Linked DNA regions of Macaca fascicularis. Each later gene encodes a partner of the first gene's protein in a complex. Links are inferred from orthologs where the notes say so. Each region holds a gene or a part of one and is shown in the gene's direction. Other genes may lie near its edges. The genes, in order: ARF1, AP3B1, AP1B1 and IQSEC2.

Evidence for each region.
Region 2: the proteins of ARF1 (region 1) and AP3B1 are in contact, whole or in part, in a cryo-EM structure (PDB 9C5B), measured with the Homo sapiens proteins. The link is inferred for Macaca fascicularis from reciprocal best matches to the Homo sapiens genes ARF1 and AP3B1. Residues at the interface, in NP_001019397.1 of Homo sapiens: Glu17, Arg19, Tyr35, Ile46, Pro47, Thr48, Ile49, Gly50, Phe51, Asn52, Val53, Glu54, Lys73, Ile74, Leu77, His80, Tyr81, Asn84; in NP_003655.3 of Homo sapiens: Glu52, Asn54, Pro81, Val84, Lys85, Val87, Ala88, Asp111, Leu112, Leu114, Leu115, Ile117, Ser118, Thr119, Gln121, Arg122.
Region 3: the proteins of ARF1 (region 1) and AP1B1 are in contact, whole or in part, in a cryo-EM structure (PDB 7R4H), measured with the Homo sapiens proteins. The link is inferred for Macaca fascicularis from reciprocal best matches to the Homo sapiens genes ARF1 and AP1B1. Residues at the interface, in NP_001019397.1 of Homo sapiens: Glu17, Met18, Tyr35, Ile46, Thr48, Ile49, Gly50, Phe51, Asn52, Val53, Glu54, Thr64, Trp66, Lys73, Leu77, Arg79, His80, Tyr81, Gln83, Asn84; in NP_001118.3 of Homo sapiens: Asn23, Asp25, Pro52, Asp53, Val55, Asn56, Met58, Gln59, Met83, Ile85, Met86, Ala87, Val88, Asn89, Thr90, Val92, Lys93, Tyr121.
Region 4: the proteins of ARF1 (region 1) and IQSEC2 are in contact, whole or in part, in a crystal structure (PDB 6FAE), measured with the Homo sapiens proteins. The link is inferred for Macaca fascicularis from reciprocal best matches to the Homo sapiens genes ARF1 and IQSEC2. Residues at the interface, in NP_001019397.1 of Homo sapiens: Arg19, Gly24, Leu25, Asp26, Ala27, Lys30, Thr31, Ile46, Pro47, Thr48, Ile49, Gly50, Phe51, Asn52, Val53, Glu54, Thr55, Thr64, Trp66, Asp67, Val68, Gly69, Gly70, Gln71, Lys73, Ile74, Pro76, Leu77, Trp78, His80; in NP_001104595.1 of Homo sapiens: Arg810, Gln811, Gln841, Arg845, Val846, Gln847, Gly848, Glu849, Ala850, Gln851, Val853, Glu854, Glu858, Asp879, Phe882, Ile883, Phe886, Ala887, Ile889, Leu890, Asn892, Thr893, Asp894, Tyr896, Ser897, Pro898, Ser899, Val900, Arg904, Met906.

The regions. Positions count from the first base shown.
Region 1 is NC_088375.1:85,991,730-85,995,847, forward strand, and holds the start of ARF1 (ADP-ribosylation factor 1), read left to right. Parts: upstream 1-1,263; 5' UTR 1,264-2,011; coding exon 2,012-2,073; intron 2,074-4,118. UniProt on the Homo sapiens protein: Small GTPase involved in protein trafficking between different compartments. Modulates vesicle budding and uncoating within the Golgi complex. In its GTP-bound form, triggers the recruitment of coatomer proteins to the Golgi membrane.
Region 2 is NC_088380.1:82,260,752-82,265,037, reverse strand, and holds the start of AP3B1 (AP-3 complex subunit beta-1), read left to right. Parts: upstream 1-1,441; 5' UTR 1,442-1,560; coding exon 1,561-1,688; intron 1,689-4,286. UniProt on the Homo sapiens protein: Subunit of non-clathrin- and clathrin-associated adaptor protein complex 3 (AP-3) that plays a role in protein sorting in the late-Golgi/trans-Golgi network (TGN) and/or endosomes.
Region 3 is NC_088384.1:22,332,012-22,335,569, forward strand, and holds part of AP1B1 (AP-1 complex subunit beta-1), read left to right. Parts: intron 1-471; coding exon 472-673; intron 674-1,568; coding exon 1,569-1,589; intron 1,590-2,204; coding exon 2,205-2,348; intron 2,349-3,558. UniProt on the Homo sapiens protein: Subunit of clathrin-associated adaptor protein complex 1 that plays a role in protein sorting in the late-Golgi/trans-Golgi network (TGN) and/or endosomes.
Region 4 is NC_088395.1:53,223,580-53,227,137, reverse strand, and holds part of IQSEC2 (IQ motif and SEC7 domain-containing protein 2), read left to right. Parts: intron 1-747; coding exon 748-847; intron 848-1,736; coding exon 1,737-1,898; intron 1,899-3,542; coding exon 3,543-3,558. UniProt on the Homo sapiens protein: Is a guanine nucleotide exchange factor for the ARF GTP-binding proteins.

The DNA.
Region 1 (4,118 bases):
ATCCACACCCCTCCCTGGGGCTTTCCAAGAGTATCTGAGATGCCTGTAGGGTGGGAGGGAGACATCCTTCCCCTAAACAGACAACCTGCCGCAGCTTCACAGAGGTGAGATTTCAGAGGGGAGCCCCAGGCAGAAAAAGGGACTGAATTTGGGGGCAGGAGGGTCACCACTTCTGGGGTCCTTCGAAGCCCCCGCAGGTGCAGCCCTGGGGGAGAACTCCGACTATCGCAGCCTGCAGTGGCAGTGAGGATGCCCTGCCCAAGGGGCAAGCAAGGTAGGTGATGGCGGCAGCAAAGGGGCGCAGGAGGCCTGGGCCAGGCCCAGTGACCCCACCCCTCAGGCCCTGCCCCCGGGCCTCCCCCTGGACAAATCAGGTTGATTCCCGACCTCCAGAATACCCAGAGAACTGTGCTGCACGGACGCTCTCCCACAAGCCCAATCCCTCACAGCTGCACAAGGGAAGAGGCAAGAAGACCTGAGGGTGGTGGGCAGAGCCAGGCCTCTGTTCCCTTCTGACCAATCCAGGAGGGCTTCCTGGGAGCGGGGTCTCCTCCGCCTCAACTGGATCTCAGCTGAAAGGCCAGCTCATTAGAGACCGCTGTGACCTCCCTTCTGGGCACCACCCCCACAGCCCCGGCCTCCCCCCGGGGTCCCCAGGCCACCTCCTCCTTTGCTTCATCTGTAGCCAACTCCCCGGCATGAGCCCAGGCATGAGCCCGCGCGAGTCACTGCGGCCGCCGGGGCGCCGAGGCCAGTGCGGGGACATAGCAGGCCTCCCTCCTTCGGACCTTCCGCCGAGGCCCCGCGAGTGCCACAGGTTTCCACAGGGCCGGGGCACACGGACCCGCGCAGCCTGGGAGCCAGGGACCCCAATCCCAGCGAAGGGGCGCCTCGCACCCCAGTCCTCACGCGGTCCCCGAGGGCTCGCGGTGACTGCCGGGTCGGGGAGGAGGAGGGTGGCAACCCGGCCCCGCCGCTCCAGTTGCTGCAGCAGCCCCCCGGGCCTCAGTCTCCGAATCTGCCAAACGGGCGTGTGGCAGCCACAAGGTGTCTTTTCGGAAGACTCACAGGCGCAGGCGCAGACGGGTGCGCACCCCTAAGGCGCGCGCGAGCTAGGACCTCGGCCCGGGGCTGGGTGTCCCCGGCCCCGCCCCCTGCAGCCCTTCTGGAGCCAGCGCGTCTGCGTCGCGGGCGCACGGGGGGCGGAGCTCCCGGCGTCTCCGCCTCTTACCCGACGTTCCCCGCGCCCGCAGGCGCTGACGTGGCCGCCGTCAGAGCCGCCATCTTGTGGGAGCGAAACCAACGCCTGGCTCGAAGCAGCAGCTTCTGAGGTGAGGGCGAGGGGCGCGGGTCGGTGTGGGCCGCACACAAGTTGGAGCCGGCGGGGTCTGGGGACTGGCCTCGGGGCGACTTGAGGTTCGCGAAGGGCACCTCGATCCCGGCGGCGGCGGCGGCGACAGGGCCGGGCCGGGGGCGGACGAGGACGGGCCGGGCTGAGGCTGGGGAGTCGGGGCTGGGAGGGCGGGCGGGTCGGTGAGCTCCTCGCGCCCCTCACAGGTTCCCGGAGTCGCCCGCGGCCCCTTGTCCTCCTCTGCCAGTCCCTGCCCCCGCCCGTCGCCCGGAAGTCAGCCGGGACGCCAGGCTCTTCTCCAGGAAACCTGGGCTTCCTGCTTCCCTTACCTCTGCCCCTCACGTTTCCCGAGGCCGCCCGCGCGTGGAGAGTTGGGGTTAGCGGTCTCGGGGGCCGGTGGGGGTTGTGGGGCCTCCTCCACCCGAGTACAGGCTAGCGAGCGGCATCCGGGCGGACCGCTGCCTCGGGGACCGGGAAACTGAGGCTCAGGCGGCCCCAAGACACCGTCAAGGTCACGTAGGTGGTGGGGGCTTGCACCTTCGCCTCCCGACTCCATCCAGTTCGTGTTTCCTCTGAGGAAGGCACTGGGTCAGGGGCGGTGAGAGCGAGCGGGCGGGCAGTGGACAGGGACCCTGCGCCTTTCCCTGTCTGCTGAACGGAATGCGTGGACCTCCGGGGAAGCCCAGAGTGCCTCCCTTCACAACAGTGAGACGCGATTTGGGGTCAGTATGAAGTCTCCGGTGGCTTCCAGAGGGCCGGTCGATGTTCGCTTTAACTCCAGGGTGGTTTCCTTGACGTTGTCGGCAGTAGATAAGAAGGCCTCTTTTGAGCTGGTGAATCTTTAACTTGCCTGCGGAACGACCTGCTCGTAGACTCTAGGCCGCAGAGGCCGGCCCCAGCGCTCTCTCGGGGCACAGCCTGGGTGGTTACGGCTTGTGAGATTGGGTCTGGACAGCCGTGCGCACCTAGAGTGTTAGATAACCATTCCGACGGCACCTCCTGGCGGACTCCCTTTCCGTCCAGGCAGCCAGTTGCTGCTTTGCAGGAATTGAGCAGAAATGCGCTCGGAATCGCGGGCAGAAAAAGAAGGGAGGTCGGAGTCTTTGGATGGTCCCCGAAGTCGCCGCCTAGTTTAGAGCTGTAGAGTTGGTGCCACTGCCCCTATTGGAGTGGGCAGTTGTATTTCTTGTTTCAGAACTAGTGGTCAGCAGTTTTCTCTGCCGCCGGTTGTTGCAAGGCTGGTGGTTCTGTCGTTTTCCGCAGTGTGTTGGGAGGAGTGTGAGATGCCGAGGTGCGGTTGTGTGCGGCCCCTGTGGCCCTCTGCTTTTGCGTTAGCCATTGTCTAACACGTGTGACTGCATGGATGATGTCCTCATTTAATTTGAATTTTCACCAGCACTACCAAGGTAGCCAGAACCATAAGGTCCTGAAATGCCGTACTATTAGCTGGGTCCAAAATTGAGAAGAATTGAGTAGTATAAATGTTAGTATACACATCTGATTGGCCACATTGTTAGAGGTGTGTTGTCCACGTTTTCACATGTTGGTAGACCGGAGAATATCTGTCACTTGTCTTTAGGTGTATCTTGTTGAAAATAAATCCAAATCATTGCAGCAGTAGGAATATGCTGTTGCCTGTCAGGCAGTTTTTCAGATTTGCTAGTTGAAAAAGATTTGAAACAGTTGGTTTGGACAACAGCTGAGTCACAGAATGACTGTGAGTGAAAAGCAAAAACTGGTTCTGTGCCCCTCACAGTTCTGATTTTGTACATCATGTAGTCTAGCTATGCGCTGTACCTCTTGCACAATATGGAGAGGACATTCAGACATCTTCACCTGCTCATCTGCCCCTACAGACTGGACAGGCTTGAAACCATAGCTTCGAAGATGCATTTGGCCTTTCATTTTTCACTTCAGTAAAATTTAATATGGACTGTCAGCTGCTGCAGTGATCATAGAAGTAGACCTAACTAAGAGAAAAAAACCTGTTGTGCAAGTTCACACGCAAAGTATATGACTGTGGTTTCAGAGAGTTGAAGCAGTTTTTTCTAGATTCTTCAAATTAAATGTCTCATTGGTGTATTTAAACCAGCTCTTACTCACAGGCCATGCTCACCAAGCTTTTGTACACACTTCTTCCTGAGCTGTGACCATTCTCTTGAGCAAGAGGCTGCAGCCAGCCTGGGCTGGCAGGCCCATACTGTCTCTCATAGGCATTCTGTCCTCTCCCCCTGACCTTTCACCTCGGTAAACTCAAGAGGGTGAAAGGAAGTAGAGTGCACTGTCAGAGGTAATTGGGAGAGAAACAGGAAAAGGCCTTGCAGTGGGGATCTTAAATTATGAGAACTTGTGTTTTCTGTGTTGTGCCTGCTCCTCATTGGTGTGGTTGGTTGGTAGGGGTATCCTGCCTGTAGCATCTGAAGTGGTCTTTTGGAAAAGGTTTAGCCCCTTCATGTTGGGATTCCAGGATTTGCCCTCATCCTCAGGTTCGTATTTTCCTGTGGTTGTTATAAACTCTTTAAGGCATAGTTGCACTTATCACCTTACAGCTGTGCAGGTGCCCAGCACCGTCTTGGAAGGTAGTTTCACATTCTCAGGTGGGTCAGATGACCTTGTTAGCAACTTGACAGACATGTCCTGGATGTTTTTTGTTCCCAAGAGGCTCTCAGGTCCTCCCCCAGGGTCCTGTCACTCAACCATCTACAGGGATGAGAAGACAGTAAGGCTGGCTGATTAGCCATAATGTCCTTGACTAATCCTGGTTTCC
Region 2 (4,286 bases), on another chromosome or scaffold:
TTTTAGGTGATCATCATTGGATCTCCGGAGCAGTATTCTAACAGTCGAATTAAAAACCTGCCAATATTTAACCAGACGATGAAGTTTGGAGGACATTCCTTCTTCTCCCACCCAGAGCCACGCTCGTGCGTGCTTCCACAGTGACAGTCTGACCTTTTGAAACTTGGAGATCATACTTTGATCCTTGAAAACGCCCCACCGCCTTCCCAGAGGCTGCCGGTCTCCACGTTCGCGTTCTACCTGGTAGAATCCCTTGACAGTTTCAGTACCTGGCCGCCAAGGCTTTGGGAGTTAACGCCTACCTGGACGGGAGGCACTGGGGAGAAGAGAGGGAAGGCTCTGAAACCCAACCGAGAAGGCGGGCTGGGGGAAGTCACTCCTGGAAAGAGGTTTTCTCGGGTGCCAGCACCCGGAGAGAGCTACTCCGGGGCCAGGCAAGCATCCCGCCTAGGCTCCCTAGTGCATATTAGTGAGTGACACGACGGCGACAGGACACAGAAGTGTCAGATGACAGCTGCGCCTGGCGCGCAAGGTGGTCCATTTTATTTTTGGTAGCTAGACGCCAGTAGGACGCACCACTTCAGCTCTAAACTGGAACTGGTGGTCCCAAGATGTTTTCTGTTCTTTTTAATTTTTTTGAGACAGGGTCTCGCTCTGTCGCCCAGGCTGGAGTGCAAAGGCGCGATCTCAACTCATCGCTACCCCCTCCTCCTGGGTTTGAGTGAACCTCCCACCTCAGGCTCAGTAGCTGGGACCACAGGCGCGAGCCACCACGCCGGCTAATTTTTATATTTTTTGCAGAGACAGGGTCTCGCTATTTTGCCAAGGCTGGTCTCGAACTCTTGGCCTCAAGTGATCCGCCCGCCTCGGCTTCCCGAAGTGCCCTACTGGCGTGAGCCACCGCGCCGGTCTGCCTCCAAGATTTTCGTTGCAAGGATGGAATGGTCGCTTCTGTGCGGATCCTCCAAACCATCGTTGGGAGAGGCCTCCTTAAAGTCTGGGAGAAAAGTTGTTTCGGGTGGATATGAAAGTAAGGCAAAGCCGGAAAGAGGAGAGTAGCCGAAACAAGCAAAGTGATCGCGATGGGTTTAGGAAAGGTGATCTGGCGTGCTAAATGGCGTTTCCGGAGAAATCCGAAAACTATTGCTTTACAAAAGTATACTAAAGAGCTGCCCTGGGTCTGGAAACCCCTTAAGGGATCAAAATGGATGCAATGGGTATCCTTCTCCAATGACACCCCTCACGGGCCGGGAGCCTGGCAGTTCGCCACCCGCTGCCTCCCTTTCCGCAGCCAGGCTCGCAGCCGCTCAGCTACCTCTAAAGCCCGGAGCAGGGAAATCCGCGCAGGCCTGGACGGCCCGGGTGGTATCCTGCCTTCCCGCACACTGCGCATGCGCAGGGGGTGGACTGCTAGGTCGGCTCAGGGAGCGGTGACGAGTCCGGAAGCGCCTGCGCGCGCTCCTCGGTACGCGAACTAGTTTTGTTCGGTGCCCTCTGGACTGGAACCTTTCGGAGAGAACCCCCGGCAGGACCAACCCCGCACCCGCCAGCACCGCGGCAATGTCCAGCAACAGTTTTTCTTACAATGAGCAGTCCGGAGGAGGGGAGGCGACGGAGCTGGGTCAGGAGGCGACCTCAACCATTTCCCCCTCGGGGGCCTTCGGCCTCTTTAGCAGCGATTTGAAGAAGTGAGGAGAAAGGTTTGGGGTACGGGGATGGGAGGGAGGAGCTGGGGACTCGGAGGAGTGGGCGCCGGGTGGGCTCCCTGGAGTGGAGCGGGGTCGCCCTGAGATCTGAGCAGAGCTGGGCGGTAACGTGTCCCACGGGTGGGTGGGTGGGGTTGGTTGGCGGTGGTGGGAGTTGGGGGAGTTTGGGGCGTGTGTGTGTAGGGGTCTCTAGTAGTTTTCAAACTTTAGTGAAAAGGAAACCGCTTGGTGAGCTTAGATCCCACCCCTGAAGACACTGATTGAATTGGACTTGGTCTGGGCTCAGGAATCTGAATTTTGAGCATAGTCTTCTAAGTTTATTTATCGTTCGCCGGATCAGACTTTGATACATTCCCTGATTAGGGTGAAACGAGTGTTTTGGTCAAGGTGAGAGTGCGAGTGTTGCTTGTGGGAAGTTATTTTGTGACCCCGGAGTGTAGGAGGAGAGAGGTGGGTTTAGGCTGTTTGAATGGACAAATTGGTTTATACCAGTATCAGTGTTCTTGGATTATATCCTTTGCACTACAGACAAAAACACCAATCCAAAATAAGCATATGAATAGAAAATATTTTAAGAGTGTTACTATGAACAAATCCTAAACTTTTACAAATTAATAATGTGAAGTTTAAAAACGAATGTTAAGATACACTTAGTTTTGTAAAAAGTATCACCGAGAAATGGAAAGAAATCCCAAGTTGTTTGTTTGGGGGGTGGGATGGTGGTATTGGGGTGGTGGTAGTGGTTAAATTTACCACAATTATCATTTTTACGTTTCTCTTATTTTAAATCTTTCATTACTAAGCAATATGGTCACATAATAGTCTGTCGCTAAATTCACGCTAAATTAAGGTAGAATAGCTGTGCTGGTAGCTTTGCAGATATGTTAGAGGGTATAATTAAAATTTAAATTAAACGTTACTAACAATATTGGGTAGTCTAGAAAGTGCTACTACTTGAAATTGGGATTACATTTTGGCTGTATTGAGGATCAAAATCATATAGATAGTATGTACGATACAATATTTTCGTTTCCTTTTTCCCAGGTTAGAAAAGTTTAAAAGTAAGGTAACTTTTCATTTTCATTTCATATAATTTTTCATTATATGCATTTGGTGATCCATTGTTCTAGAGCAAGTACGGAGCTTGTTGCCTTTACTGTTAGCAAAATGTTTAGACTGAATTAACCTGTAAATTGGCATCAATCTGTTTTGCAAATTAATTTACTTTTATGGTTTGTGAACACCCCGTGAGGGGTGTCATTGGAGAAGGATACCCATTGCATCCATTTTGATCCCTTAAGGGGTTTCCAGACCCAGGGCAGCTCTTTAGTATACTTCTGTAAAGCAATAGTTTTCGGATTTCTCCGGAAACGCCATTTAGCACGCCAGATCGCCTTCCTAAACCCATCGCGATCACTTTGCTTGTTTCGGCTACTCTCCTCTTTCCGGCTTTTCTCTTATATTTTTGTCAGATTTGGGGCCAGGCACGGCAGCTCTCGGCTGTAATCTCAGCACTTTGGGAGGCCAAGGCGGGCGGATCACTTGAGGCCAGGAGTTCGATACCAGCCTGGCCAACATGGTGAAACCGCGTCTCTACTAAAAATACAAAAATTAGCCGGGCGTGGTGCCTCGTGCTTGTAATCCCAGCTGGAGGCTGAGGCAGGAGAATCGCTTGAACCTGGGAGGTGGAAGCTGCAGTGAGCCGAGATCGCGCCACAGCACTCTAACTTTAGTGGGTGACAGAGTGAGACTCCGTCTCAAAAAAAGAAAAAAAAAAGGAAAAAGATTTTTGTCAAATTTTGACCTGATTTGGAAAAAAAAACCCAAAAAACTTATGGCCATTGACTCTGTGACCAGTGCTCTTGAGGTGACCTAATAGGTTGGATTTAAAATAAAAGTAGCTAATTGATTAGAGGTGGTATGTAATATATGCAAATAACCATGGTTGAATTGTGTTCCCCAAAAGATATTTATTGAGTGTTTGTGGCACCACTTTACATTTATTATCTCATTCAGTTTTCTTAACAACCCTGCAGGTTATTACCAGCTGCTCCCACTTTACACGTGAGGAAATTGGAGCGTGATCGTTAACTTGGGAAAGGCCGCAAAGCTAGAACATTGAACTGCCTGAATTTGAACTCAGAGGCTCTAATATTAGAGCCCATTCTCTCAAAAGTTTCGATGTCTACTTACTACTTGATGAAATGTATGGTATTTTTATTAGTGAGCGCATACAACTCACGAAAGCTTTAAAACTTTAAATAGCTCTAAGTAGTACCACCAGAGAAGCTTCCAGGGATTAGAAACATTTGGCTGTTGACCTGCAATCTAATGGAATTGTACAGAAACAAGGAGACCCCTGTTCTGGAAATGGTCATTAAATCTCTCTTGAGTCCACATTTTCTCATTTATAAAACTGTAATATTACTTGCCTTTTAAAAAAATCGAATGACATAATTTATGTAAAAAACTTGAAGCTCACCCTGTTTCCTCAGCTCTGGTTTTTAATGGTTTACTCTGATGAAATAGTTTCAAGTTTACAAAAAAGTTGCAACAATAGCACTGAGAGCAACCCTTTTG
Region 3 (3,558 bases), on another chromosome or scaffold:
CCTAACAACAGCTCTGAGAGCAAATGTCCCCATTCTTCAGGTGGGAACAAGAGACAAGGAGAGCTTGAGGGACTGGTCCAGGATCTCACAACTAGCAGAGCTGGGACTCAGACCGGTTCTGTCTCATTCCAGAGCCCTGTCCGTGCCTCCTCCTCTGCTTTTCCCAGGTGGTTGGTGTGACCTGGTGGCACCATCCTAGGGCACTGGCTTCCAGTTTTCTCCTTGGCATGGGCTGAGGGCTAGAAGCAGGCGGCCCTCTCCCTTCACTCATCCTCAGAGAGGGCCTGAAAGATGGACCTGCTGTGGGAATGGGGAAGCAGTGGGGCCGTGTGGACAGCGCTGTTGGGGACAGGGAGGAGACTCAGTGCCTGTCCTGAGGGAGGCGCCTGGAGGCTGGGGTCTCTTTGACCTTCCTGAGACATCCTGATGCCTCCGCCCTACTGACCTTCTCTCTCTTCTGTGTCCCGGCAGGAGTGAGAGCGCAGAGAGCCCTGAGACAGCCCCTGCCGGAGCACCTCCTGGGGAGCAGCCAGATGTCATCCCCGCCCAGGGCGACCTGCTGGGTGACCTCCTCAACCTGGACCTCGGCCCCCCAGTGAGCGGCCCACCCCTGACCACCTCCTCAGTGCAGATGGGAGCTGTGGACCTTCTTGGCGGTGGCCTTGACAGCCTGGTATGTCATGGGTGTCCTCTGGATGATGTTGATAATGATCCTCAGAGGAGCAGTCACTGAACGCCCCTCCATGCCAGGCACCAGCTGAGTGCCTCAGGTACATTATATTGAGCTCTTACCATTTACCCTCGGAGGTGATTGTGTAGCTCCCTACTTATGATGAGAAAACCAAGGTTTAGAGAGGCCAGGCAGCCTTCCCTCCAAGGTCGCACAGCCCCTGAGTGGCAGACAGGATTCCACTCCCTTGTTGGACCTTCGAGTCCCAGGAGATCCTGGGCAGGGAGGCCCATCCTAGCCCTTGCCCTGATCCTGGCATCATAGTCACCTTTGCCCTGTTAGGCTAGGGTGTTCCTAGCTTTGAGGAATCAGACTTGTGTCCACTTAGCTTCATGCTGCCCCAGCTGGGAACAGAAGCCCAGCCAGGCCTATTTGAGAGGGCATGGGAGGCCGGGGAGAGAGGGGAATGGGAAGACAGTAGGGAGGGGAGTGGTGAGACTAACGTGGGTATCTCCCTGGGGCTTCCTCAGGCAACTGGCAGGGCCAGGTGCTGGGGGTGGCTGAGCCTCTTCATTTGACTGTGCTCGACTCAGGTCCGCACGGTGGCAGCATGGGGGCAGGAGACTGGCAATTAGCGCTGCTAGGGTGAGGCAGGAAGGGCTGTGGTGCAGAACGGGTGCTGGGGTAAATGTGTGGGGTAGTGCCTTTCATAGAGACGGGGTCTGGGCCTCTCATAGGCCCCAACACAGCCTCACACCACTCTCCTCTCGGATGGAGCTACTGTTAACTAATCTCCTCCCTCTTTCCCTTCTCTCTCTTGTTCCTCTGTCTTCCTTCCTGGCTTTTTCTCTCTGCATGTGGCTGCCTGTTCTCTTCACCTGCCTGCTTCTGCTTGGAGATGGGGGATGAGCCTGAAGGGGTATGGTTCAACCCTTGCGTCACCCAGCCTTCATCCTTGCTCCTCCCGAAAGCGCTGGCCCAGCATCCCAAGGGGCGGGTGATGTCAAAGCAGCCCCCGCCGGCTGAGCCCCTGCCTTGGTCCCGCGTCCTGGCAGTCTCTGTCTTGACCAGCTGGCATTCGGCTACCACTAGGCCCCATAGCCATGGATTCTTGCCCAGTCCTCACCACCCCATGACGCGTCACCTTGTCATCCCAGGGATTGCCAGCCCTCAGTCCCACAACCCCTCTCTAATGTCCTGGAGGGAGAGCACCCGTCTGCATAGCAGGTCTCCACCCAGCCGTGTGTCTTGGGACCTCCTTTTATCCATGGGCTGAGTGTCAATTTGGGAGTGTCCCCAGCCCTTTCCCAGAGGTTACTTCTAAGGCTCAAGGCTTACAGGGCACGGGAGGGCTCAGCCTCTCTACTCCACCCACCTCTCTCTGTCTTGTTTCTGTAATTTCGAGTTGATATGGAGGCTGTCCTGCCCCCCCACCCCCAGTGTATTCTAAAGAGCCAGGTGGCTCTACTCATTCCCAGCCCTTGATGTCCTTGCCTCTTGATGCCTGCCTCTGACTCTTTCCCTCCCTTTCCAGATTGGGGGCACCAATTTCGTGGCACCTCCAACAGCAGCAGTACCAGCCAGTCTTGGAGCACCCATCGGCAGTGGCCTGAGTGACCTCTTTGACCTAACCAGTGGCGTGGGCACCCTGTCAGGATCATATGTAGCCCCCAAAGCAGTAAGTCACTTGTCTTCTCTCTTGGCAGGAGCAGAGAGAAGTTATAGAGATTGGCATGTGGGCTCCTTTAAATGGCCTCGGCTGTGGAATTGGCTCAGGCCAGCGCTGATGAGGGAAGCTGGGGGCCACGGGGGCACCGAGGAAAAGGAGCTAAGTCAGGCTTGGTGGATGCCTAGGCAGGCTTTCCGGAGGAGTCACAGGACCTCATTAGCTGAACAGAAGCGGGTAGGGGCTCCAGACCAAGGGAACAGCCTGTGGTAAGGCCTGGAGGGAAGGGAGACCCTGGCCTCTGTCAGGGAATCAGCAGAGGCCTGTCAGGTGGGAGCAGTAGTTCTCAGTGCCATCAGACCCAGCACCCCTTAGTCATCATCGACATTTTACATTGTCACTGTTCCTCTCCTTAAATGCAATTGGTGGGCTGTGTAACCTACCTACACACAGCATTCCAAAAATACTCAGATGCTTTCACTGCATGGAGGAGACATAAAAGGAAGAGAATACAAGTGTATGTATCAATGTTATAAGCGTCTGGGCATGCCTGCCCACTCACCCCGGAAGATATGAAGTTGCCAGGTGTTTGCTGCAGGGCAAAGTCACTGTGACTGTGGCAACCACAGTCTGGGTGTTTGTAGCCTGGACCCCATGAGTGGTTTGGCCAGTGGTGCCATTTGTTTCTGAAGTGGTCGCTGACTCCCACTAAGGTTCGGAGTAAGATAAACAACAGTCTTCCCTTGATTTTCCTGAGAATTGTGTTCCTGGAAGTCTCAGGATATGTTGAAACCATGCAGCAAATACTGGAAGGATGCAGGACAGTTGCTTGTTGTGGGGTGGTTGTCCCCATGGTAGGACGTCCAGCATCCCTGACTCCAGCCCACTATGTTATGCCACCTGAAGATGCCCACTGTGCCACCTAGGGCACACCCCCAAGACTCCTGGCTAGACTAGGGATCAGCAAAGGAAGAAGCTGGCGAGGCTGGTGGGCCAGGCTGAGCGTTTCTTGTTGATCCTGGCACAGCCGGAGGCTTTGGAAAGGTTTAAGCAAAGGTATGAACCAGTCTGATTTGCACTTGAGAAAGATGGCTGCGTGTGCAGGGAAGGGGTGGGGCAGAAGCACCGGCCCCAGGGGATTCTGCAGCAGGGAGGAGGAGTGCTGCGGCAGCTGGACCATGAGGGCTCTTGTGGGTGGAAGCAGTGGCCAGACTTGAGAGCT
Region 4 (3,558 bases), on another chromosome or scaffold:
GGTACTGAAACTGGTGTGCGTCCAGCTGTATGCCAGGCACTGGGTATGCCAGGATGAATCAGAATTAGTCCCTGTTCTCAGGGAGCTCACAGCCCAAAGGACCTAAAAAAGTGCTTTGCGTCATCATGCCATCCTGAAATCAAAACATTTCCTTTTATGAGCCACTTGCAGACCGCCTGAGGTGTTTGCAACCTGTGTTAGTTGAGTCCAGAGTGCCCAAGTACTCGACAAAGACGTTGGGTTGTTGAGAGGAAGACTTGTTAACTCTCTACATGGGTTCAGCAGAGATTGCCATTAAGTGCAGGCTCTGGTGAGGCCCGCTGACAGAACCCGACAACCAGACTCCTGCCTTCCAGTCCAGCAGGGGGTGATCACACACTCAGAGGACTAGCATAGCGCCTGACAAGGGAAAGGTACTGAATCATCATTCTGGAGCTCAGAAAAGGGGTTTACAAATCTCTGTGGGATGTTGGAGCAGGCTTCCTGGAGGGAGCAGGATTCAGTTAGTTCCTGGAAATGTGGTAAATGTCTGTGGTGCGTGGTCATTACATCAGGAACTTGCGTTTTCTTCCATGTCTCCCATTCTGTCCCTCAAGCTTCCATTCTCCCCAGCTTGTGGGCATGTGTATTTGTGTGTGTATGTCTGTTAATGGGGTGGGAGGGGAGGGTGGTTACCAGAAATAGGTGCCACGTGGAAATTCCCCACCCAAAACGCTGCCTCTTGTCTTTTTCCCACCCCTGCCAAAGGTCACCAAAATTTTCCAGAAGAAGAAGATCTTGGTGACGTACAGTTTCCGTCAGTCTTTCCCCCTCGTGGAAATGCACATGCAGCTCTTCCAGAATTCATGTGAGTCCCTTCTTGGATCCCAGCTCCCAAGAGTCTATGTCATGGCCCCCATGCTCACCCGTCATCTCTACCAGCTCCAGTTTTTGGAGTCCCTTACAACCAGGCTAAGGGTCTCCGAAGCACCTACTTGGTCCCAGGATGAGGGGCAGGCCAGGGTGGAGTATGACTCGGGTCTAGCCCCTGGTTAGCTCATAGTCTTGCAGAGAACCCCAGTGCATGTGTTCTCTGGTGGGCCAAAGAGATGGTGATCACGCTGTGCTCTGAAGGATGAACCAGGAGGAGCTTTGTTTCATGGTACTCTGGGCAGCAGTAGCAATGTGAGTTGAGGTAGAGGTGAGAAGGAAAGAGTTTCAAGACAGCAGTGCAGAGTTGTATGCCTTTACATGCTGCAGTACAGGAAGTAAGGGGGCCACAGCTACCAGGAGTTTGAGGGCTTTGGGGCACAGGGGAGCTGCTAAATATGCTCAAATGGAGAAGAGGCATGATCAGAGTTAGACAGCAGAAAAATTATTTCATGGGCTAGGTATGGCGGCTCACACCTGTAATCCCAGCACTTTGGGAGGCCAAGGCAGGAGGATTGCTTGAGCCCAGGAATTCGAGACCAACCTGGGCAATATAGTAAGACCCCATCTCTGCTGAAAATAAAAAAATTATCTGCACATATGGTGCGTGCCCATGGTCCCAGCTACTCAGGAGGCTTGAGGCAGAAGGATCACTTGAGCCCAGGAGTTCAAGGCCGCAGTGAGCCATAATGACACCAGTGTACTCCAGCCTGGGTGACAGAGAGATGTTATCTCAGGAAAAAAAGTACAGAAAAGAAAAATTATTTTAGGTATGAGCCACCTCCACCAATCCCAACAGAGGTGCCCAGTCTCCCCTTTCTCCACAGATTACCAGTTTGGGATCAAGTTGCTGTCTGCAGTACCTGGTGGGGAGCGAAAAGTCCTCATCATCTTCAATGCCCCCAGCCTCCAGGACCGGCTGCGCTTTACGTCCGACCTGCGCGAATCCATTGCGGAGGTGCAGGAGATGGAGAAATACCGTGTGGAGTGTGAGTAGCCCAGCCACGTCTCCTCCCCCATCTCCTGAAACAGTACCCTGCAGAAACCAAGAATCCTATCCTCTGAGAATCTCAGAGTTGAGGGTTAGCTTGTCCAACCTTCCCATGCTCATTTCAAGAATTCTTCAGCCTCTGCTTGAATACCTTCAGTGACAAGGGGCTCATCACCTCCCAGCCCCATTATTATCCCAAACTCTAATTATGAGCCAACTATTCCTTCTAGTGAAAGGTATCAGGGAGAAGAATCAGAGTATTAGAGGTAGGACTGTAGTTTTAGGTCCCAGGTATGCTATTCGTTATCTGGGTGAACTGGAGCTAATTGCCTAACCCGCCTAGCCCCAGTTTCTTCCTACACGAATTTGGGGTAATGAAGTCTCCTTCACGGAGTCAAGGAGATGAAATGAGACAAGGTAGCCGAAATGTCCCAACACATCTTAGGCATTCAAAAAGTCTGTATTCCCTGTCCCACTCTCTCTCCTCGTCTGCCCACATATCAATTCCTGAGCTGAGTCCCAGTGGCCTATCCTCTCCAGGGGCCACACCAAGTCATTTTGATCATATATATATAATGGAAAATAGTGATTACATCTCATTCCTCCCGATGCCCTCCAAGTTTTCTCTTCTCCAGGCTAAGCAGTCACAGTTAAGTAACATGGTGTTAAGGAGAAAGAGGCAGGCAGACAGAAAAAGAGAGACGAGGCGGCGGACAGCTCCTTGGTGAGGCCTTCACAGCTCCAGGGCCACTCTACTCCTCAGCGAGGCAGGGATAGAAGTTTCAGTTCACCAGATCCTTTGAGACCCTGGGAAAATCCCGAGAGAGGGATTAGCAGCCCAAGACGAGGGGAGGCCAGTAGACACATGTTTCTGTGAGCTCTGTGGGGAGGTGGGGCTGTAAGGAGGCCGGAAGCACCCAAGCTCTGGAATCAGGCAGACCTGCTTCCAGAATGTCGGCTCCGCCATTTCCAGCTGTATGACCCTGGGCAAGCTCTAAGACTTCTCGGATTCTCAGTTTCCTCCTCTGCACAATGTGGATGCTAATACTGACCTCAGAACTGTTGTGAGGATTGAGAGAGATCAAGTATGTGTAGCACCCAGCATACTGCCTGGCACTTAATAGAGGATTTGATTCCTGTCAGTTTCCTGCTCCTGCCCTTCCAGGAGCCCCTCTGCTCTGGAGCAAGGTATCTGAGAACTGACTGAACTCTGGAAAGATTGCCCTTTGCCATAGGCTAGAAGGGCCTTCCCGTCCTTACTGTGAACCATCTGCCATGAAGCTCTTTTTTGAAGGGCAGGGGTGCTTTGAGAGACCTGACTGCAAGAGGGCATGGGAGGGGAGAAGTCATAAGAGTGAAGGGAAGGGAAATGGAACAGGGAGAGCAGGCACCAAGAGGGATGAAGGGAAGGCTGAGCAGGAAGGGAGGGTGCAAGACGGGAGCTGGGCACTAAGGGTACTTCGGTGATGGAGCTGCAGTTTTGGGGGAGACAAGGGCTGGTCGTCCAAGGGGCAAAACAGGAAGCCTGGGGACAGAGGGAGGGAGGAGGGAGGAGGAAGGAGGACGGAGGGCTAGGGTCAGTCAGATGGGCTCTCACTCCTGTTCCTGACCTTTGCTCCCTGTCTCCCCGACTGCCACCCAGCGGAGCTGGAGAAGCA